Linked DNA regions of Oryctolagus cuniculus. The protein of the gene in region 1 interacts with the protein of each later gene in a biochemical or structural test. Links are inferred from orthologs where the notes say so. Each region holds a gene or a part of one and is shown on either strand. Other genes may lie near its edges.

Region 1 (3,650 bases):
AGCGACGGCAGCCTAAGAGGCCGCCCAGTGGAACTGGAGGTTAACTGCTTCAGTGCCAAATGGGAGCGAGCAGTCGTGACCGGCCCTGCCCGTCCCAGGGCCCGCGCAGAATCCTGCAGCTCGCATTCTCCAGTTCAGGCGTCCCAGGCCCAGATAAGGGCGAGAGCCCTGGAGGCAGGGCCTCGTGAGGTTTGGTTGTAGGGAAAATAGATGGAGACACTGGAGGCAGTCCGCGGGGAGGCGGCTCCACAAACAGCTTCTTGATGTTAGCAACAGATGGGGCCTACGGGAGCTAGGGCCGCCCGGCAACGTACTATGTTTGTCAACAGGGGTTCTTGGGTGTCTCGCCCTCCAGGGGCAGCCCCCATGGCCGGCGAAACCCGCGGCCCCAGTGCCTGCATTCCCTTTTCTGGCCTCCTCGGAGTTTTCCTTCTTCCAATACAAAACCTTCACTGCTCAGGCACACATGTCCGGGTCCACGCCCCCCGCCCCCACCCCGCGACCCTTCCCCTTGGACTTTGAGCACCCCCTCCCCCCATCTGTTCAGAGAGAGAACTGGGTCCCAACAAGATCCCCGGGCCCAATTCATTCACCTCCATCCACTAGGCACAAATGCAACTATGGACATCACTTTTTCTTAATAAATTTATTCACAAAAAAGTGAGTTTGCAGAGGGTCTGGGGGCTGTACATGGGCCGGGGCCTGGTGAGCTCTGTACAGGGGGCTGGGAGACAAGGGAGCCTCCAGGTTGGAAGGGTACTTTTTAATAAAAAAAATAACGGGAGCTACAGCCACCCCCTCCCCCCCTCCCTGATTAAAAAGACACAAAAATAGACGTCTCTGAGGTAAATGGGAAGCCTGGGGCTGAAGGGTGTTGAAAGGGTTTCACAGGTGCCAGGGCTTAAAGGGACCGTCACAGGCACCGGGGCGGCTCCTGCATCAGTTGGTAGAACAGCACGTAGCCCTCACTGGATGCCACCTGGTTTTCACTGACAGGGGAGACACTAGGAAGGGAGATGGGGAGAGAGGCTTGTCACCAGCCTTGTAGAGTCCCTCCTCCCCACTAGACAACCCCAGGGCATCCAGGGAGCGCTCAGGAGAGACCCCAGCTCGCCTGTCCCCAGGCACTCTGCTCCCGTGGGCCTCACGGCAGGGTGTCAGGGCTGCAGCAGGAACGGGCGGGAGTCAAGAGGAGGCTGTTCTCACCGAGAGTCATTGTAGACATGCCAACCAGTCTGGCACCGGCACAGGGCTGTGTAGTGGCCATAGTGGACGCTGCCCGAGTGGTTGCAAAGGGCATACAGCTGGTATACAGGGCTTCCTGAGGGGTTGGAGAACTCCTTAGAACAGTGCAGTGCCCCCTTCTCAGGGTTCCATGGGGCCTTCCCCACCAGACTCACCGGCTTTGTCACTGGCAAAGTCCCCTAGGCTCAGTCGCTGCAGCGGGAAGTCTACACCTACTGAACTTTTCTTGATGGAGCCTCGGGAGGTGGAAAATCGATTCAGATCTAAGCCCTGGTTAAGGAGCATTGGGAGGCGGGGGGATCTCTAGAGGGGACTGGGCCTGAATAGTGTCCTCTCCCCTCCCCCGACCCATACTGGGCGCCCTGGAAGGAAGGCTGGGGGTTAGGCTTTTCCTAAGGAGACCTCAGCTCCCCGTGGCCAGCCTCTGCAAGAGAACGCAGGGGAGATAGCCTAAGAGAAATAAGAAACTGAGGATTAGGATACGGAGCACGAGGATTCGGGGGAACCTCTGCACTGTCAGCTTTTTGGTACTCCGCGTTTTCTGCCGACACCGGTCACACACCTGAATAAACGCCAAATGGTGTTAGGTTGATGCGCTCCTCCCCCCAGGCGGCTCCAGCGCAGTCCACTCTCAAATGTGGTGTGCTCCCCGTTGCTGCCGTAACCCCGGCCGCACCCCCTTGCCCTAGGAGCACCAGGCCGTGTACCAGAGGCTCCAACACAAGCCCAGACATGTGAGTTCTTCCCACACTAAGGCATCTCGCGGTCCCTTTTCCCCAGGAGGCCCCCTCCTGTCCCACCCTTGTTACATCCCTTGTGAACCCCCACATACTGGGGCGTTCTCCAATTCTAGCTCTTCTTCCTTGGTGAAAAGGCTGAAACAATCCCGCAGAGACACCTTGCCCCCAGCAAATCCTTTCTGCAGAGCAGGGGGCAACAGGGAAGGGAGGGTCAGTGTGGTCTCCATTTCCTTTTCGGATTCTTCTCAATCAGTCCAGCGTCAGTTCCGCTCCAGAGACCCACAGGAGTCCCGCCCGCACTCTGGAGGTGGCTAGGGCCGGGTCACAGAACCCCCGTCCCATCCACCCCTGGCATCCTCTGGAATCCCACCTTGGGGATGGGCAGGGACAGGTCACAAAAAACCTCGAAGGTCGTGGAGCGATACCCACAGGCCTGGCACTTGAGACAACTTTTCAACTGGCCCACAAACAGGTCTGGACAGAAGCAAAGGGACAGAAGAACGAGTCACTGTTGGGGGCCTGACAAGCTTTCTCTGATACCCGCCTCTTCCCTGGCCGGGTCCGTTCCCACCACCAACACTCCAAACAAACTCCCCACGCTATTTCTGGTTTCCATCACCCGGTCCTGCTCTCACCCCCCTGACAATGCCAGCTTTTCTTTCCTCTGAAGCCTGTGTACCCCTCCCCCACCCCCACTCGTGTTCCCACATTTTCCCCCCATTCCATACCCACAATCTTGCTGTCCTCTCGCTCCAGGTAACGTTTCCACATTAGGTTGGCTCGGTCATCGTCACTACCACAGATCAGGGGAAGTGGGGAGCACCCGTGAGGCAGCAGGAGCACTGGGAACCCCCAACACCACAGAGCCCTGCACGCCACCCACAACCCAGCTCCTCCCCTGGACTTCCAGGAAAAGTCAAAGGAGTCATGCTTCAAGGGACTTCTGGGGGAAATCCAAGGTGAAAGGAAAATGTACACAAGGGAACAGGCTGTCTCCCTCCACCTAGCTTCAAACCCTTCTAAGGAGCTCTGTTATAAACTGTCCCCTCCCTCCTGAGTGACGTCCCCAGCATATCTTCTGCCTCCATCTGCACCCCTCAGTCTTCCTCCCCCACGTCCTTCCTTTCACTTCTGCACTGCTTCTTAAACCATTTTGTACACTAAAGGGTTTCCCAGCCCCTGCCACTTCAGTCTGGACTAGCAGGGTTCTGTGAAGGCTGCATGTCGCTGCGGAACTCCCGGGGGTACGAGGGCAGGGACGGGCCCTTACCTTAACTCAGGCTCCTCTAGCAGCGCCCCTCCTCGGCAGGGTGGAGAGGGAGCTGGACCGTTGGCCAGGATCGGGGGAGCCCGGCGGCCTCGTCGGTTGATTTCAAGGTGTAGTCGCTCCATGAGGAGCTTCAGGAACTCTTGGGCATCCTGCTGGCTACAGCCAGACGAGAGAGTGTGGGCCACGATCCGTCCTCATCCAGACACTAGCCCTGCCCAGATGGGGTCCCCACTTGCAGGATAAAAACACCTCCAGGCCCAGAACAATACTGCCCAGGCCCCCACCTGGCCTCACCCTCAGACATGGCCAGACTCTCCCACCTGTATCCAGAGAAGGAGGGAACGTATTTCTGGAAGACGGCTCGGAATCGAGTAGGGTTCACAGCTTCGCAGGAG
Region 2 (3,127 bases), about 130 Mb from region 1:
CCTGTGGCTTCTGCCTAATTAGCTGCCGCCCACCCCCAAGCCCCATCAGGGCAGGTGAGTCCCAGATCCAGGTGCCCTCATGCACTGTCCACACTCTCCTGAGGGGGTGATGTGAACCCTGATGGTGAGTGCTCAGGCCCCGCCCTACACCTCCCAGGACCAAGGCAGGCAGGACTGGGCAGTCCAGAAGGTTCCTGGCCCCCTGCCCCATGGGGTGTGGACCTCTCCCCACCTCACTGGTTCCAGGGACTCTGGGGGTGGGGCCTGCCCTGTGGCCAATGGGCCCTGAGCAGAGCTGCCGCCCTGCTCCCGCCCCCCCACCCCCGGAGCTTGTGGGGTGAGCAGTGAGGGGCTGCCTGGCTCAGCCTGGCCAGGTCAGCTCTGGCACACGTGACTTTCCTATGTGAGGCTGTCCCTGTCATGACCCTACCATGAAGCCCTTGTCCCATAACTTGGCAACCAGACCGCCCCCACAGGGCTGCAGAATTGGGGACACAGGAGGGGTGATGGGCAGAGAGGGGACCCGGGAGGCAGCTACTTCTGTTTATTAGCAGGGCCGGGTCCCGGCAGATCCGCCCCGCAGGCGGAGGTTCAGGTACACGGTGCACTGCGGCTGGAGGCCGTACTCCCCCAGCAGGTGCTGGTCCTCCATGGGCCTGTTCTCGAAGCTCAGCCAGAACAGGTCCGGCTGCAGGCCCTCCCGCTGGGCCACCTGCAGCTTGAGCTGGGCCACCGTCTGGGTGAGCAGCACCTCGTAGGCGCTGCTGCGGCCCCTGTCATTGCGCACCAGGATGCTCAGCGGGTTGTCACACTTCTGCACCAGCAGCAGCACCGTGCTTCCCGGCCCCAGGCCCTGGGCGACCAGGGGGACCTCCTCCAGCAGCGCCGCCCCCCCGGGGTGCACAGCCAGGAGCTGCTGGAAGGCCGGCACGCCAGTCTCCTGGGCGATCCGCCGCTTCAGCTCCGACGCCGTCAGGGACTCGCTCAGGGGCACTGAGATCTCTTTGCTGCCCAGCATCTTCACCTTCAGGTCCTTCCCCTGTGGGCATCACCAGGGCTCAGAGACCGGCGCCAGGCCTGGGTCCGCACACCAGGCGCCAGCCGCAGGTGCAGCCCCCTGCGTCCGCCGATGCGCCCCTCCTGTCCCCACCCTGGGAAACCCCACCAGACAGACGAGGGGGAGGAAAACCGGCCGGACCACGCGCCCCCCGACACCGCGCGTCCCGGCTTACCATGGCCGTGGCTGCTTCTGGGTGCTGCTCAGTCCCTGGCAATGCCGCTGCCCCTCAGCCTCTAGCGCGTTCCCGGCCAGCCTCAGCCCATTTATGGGCCTCGGCTGCGGACGTCAGGGGGCGGTGCTGCCGCCCAGCTGGTGCCGGGGCCAAGCAGGCTTTGGTTTTGGTTTCCTTTTCCCAGGGCGAGCCCCAGAGGGAGTAGGAGAAACAAAACAGAAAGACGATGTGAGCTGGCACAGCTCCAGGGGTGGGGGCACGGCAAGGGGCCCCCACAGTGCCCCGGCAGCCTGCCTAGCCGTGCCCAGCAATGCCCAGCACCAGCACCCGGAGTCCTCAGCAGGACACTCAGCGCTCACAGGGACGTGGGCTGGGGACTGGAGACTTTCGGTTTCCATTTGCCAGATTGCAAAATTGATGAGGCCAGGAAACGTCACGGCGGTCACTTCCAGAACTACATAGGACGCCAACAGTCCCAGCCCCCCCCCCCCCACGGAGACCTCCGTGGGCTCAGGACGTGGCCTCTGGTCAGGTTGTTTCTCAATGAAAGACCAAGTGTATTTTGCTGCCTTTCGAAGTGAACTCAGAATGTTTGCACATGTGTCTGATAAGGGTCTCTGTGGGCGTAGAGAATTCTTACAAGTTCAACAATGAAAAAAACCACAATTTAAAAGGGAGCAGTGGAGATGCCCACACAGGAACGCCTGCTTCAAGTCCTGACGCCACCTCCAGTGCCAGCTCCCTGCTGGTGCCCGGCTCAGGTACCTGGGCCCCTGCACCCACAAGGGAGACCCAGGAAGAGCTCCTGTCTCCCGGCTTCAGCCAAGCCCAGCCCTGGCTCTTGTGGGCATTTGGTGTGTGAACCAGTGGAGGGAAACAGCTCTCTCCCTGTCTTCAAATAAAATAAACAAACATTTTAATGTCTTTTACATGAATTTCACCTAAAAAACAAAACAAGAGCTCTCGCCATTTTCACCGCCTGTGGAGCAGCAGGTCATCAACCGCCTCCTTTGCCGACAGGCACCAGCGCGTGGCCGAGCTCCCGAGACGGGACGGGACTGATGGCCAGGAGTGCAGCCCCACCAGCCCCGGACGGCCAGTCGAGGTTGTTCCCAAGTTTCTGCTGTCACAAACAGCACACACCAAAGTTGGCTGAGACTAAATAAAAATGAGGTATTTAAATAAATAAATAAGTGAATGAAATTTTTAAGAATGGAAAAGCAAAGTGTGCCCGCCATGATTCTGAGTATCAACCCTGACCCTGCCTCCCCGGCCCAGAACTCCCTGGGGCACCATCTCCGCTGAGCTGTCAGAGAAAAAGCACAGACACTTAGTGAAGGGAGCAGGCGTCCACCGTCTCACTTCCACGTCCACCGTCTCACTGCCCACGTCCACTGTCTCACTTCCATGTCCACGGTCTCACTGCCCACGTGCACAGTCTCACTGCCCACATCCACTGTCTCACTGCCCACGTGCACTCTCACTGCCCACGTCCACAGTCTCACTGCCCATATCCACTGTCTCACTGCCACGTCCACAGTCTCACTGCCCATGTCCATTGTCTCACTGCCCACGTCCACCGTCTCACCGCCCACATCCACCGTCTCACTGCCCACATCCACCGTCTCACTGCCCACGTCCACCGTCTCACCGCCCACATCCACCGTCTCACTGCCCACGTCCACTGTCTCACTGCCCACGTCCACCGTCTCACTGCCCACGTCCACAGTCTCACTGCCCACGTCCACCGTCTCACCGCCCACATCCACCGTCTCACTGCCTACATCCACTGTCTCACTGCCCATGTCCACCGTCTCACTGCCCACGTCCACAGTCTCACTGCCCATATCCACTGTCTCACTGCCATGTCCACAGTCTCACTGCCCACGTCCACC

Evidence for each region.
Region 2: the proteins of USP21 (region 1) and ISG15 form a complex in vitro, tested with the Homo sapiens proteins (2 studies listed by BioGRID, with this or other methods). The link is inferred for Oryctolagus cuniculus from reciprocal best matches to the Homo sapiens genes USP21 and ISG15.

The regions. Positions count from the first base shown.
Region 1 is NC_091438.1:37,627,553-37,631,202, forward strand, and holds the end of USP21 (ubiquitin carboxyl-terminal hydrolase 21), read right to left. Parts: coding exon 3,576-3,650; intron 3,412-3,575; coding exon 3,256-3,411; intron 2,779-3,255; coding exon 2,714-2,778; intron 2,460-2,713; coding exon 2,356-2,459; intron 2,165-2,355; coding exon 2,078-2,164; intron 1,808-2,077; coding exon 1,729-1,807; intron 1,509-1,728; coding exon 1,401-1,508; intron 1,322-1,400; coding exon 1,207-1,321; intron 1,005-1,206; coding exon 914-1,004; 3' UTR 632-913; downstream 1-631. UniProt on the Homo sapiens protein: Deubiquitinates histone H2A, a specific tag for epigenetic transcriptional repression, thereby acting as a coactivator.
Region 2 is NC_091438.1:164,356,629-164,359,755, forward strand, and holds ISG15 (ubiquitin-like protein ISG15), read right to left. Parts: upstream 1,888-3,127; 5' UTR 1,236-1,887; coding exon 1,233-1,235; intron 1,040-1,232; coding exon 548-1,039; 3' UTR 530-547; downstream 1-529.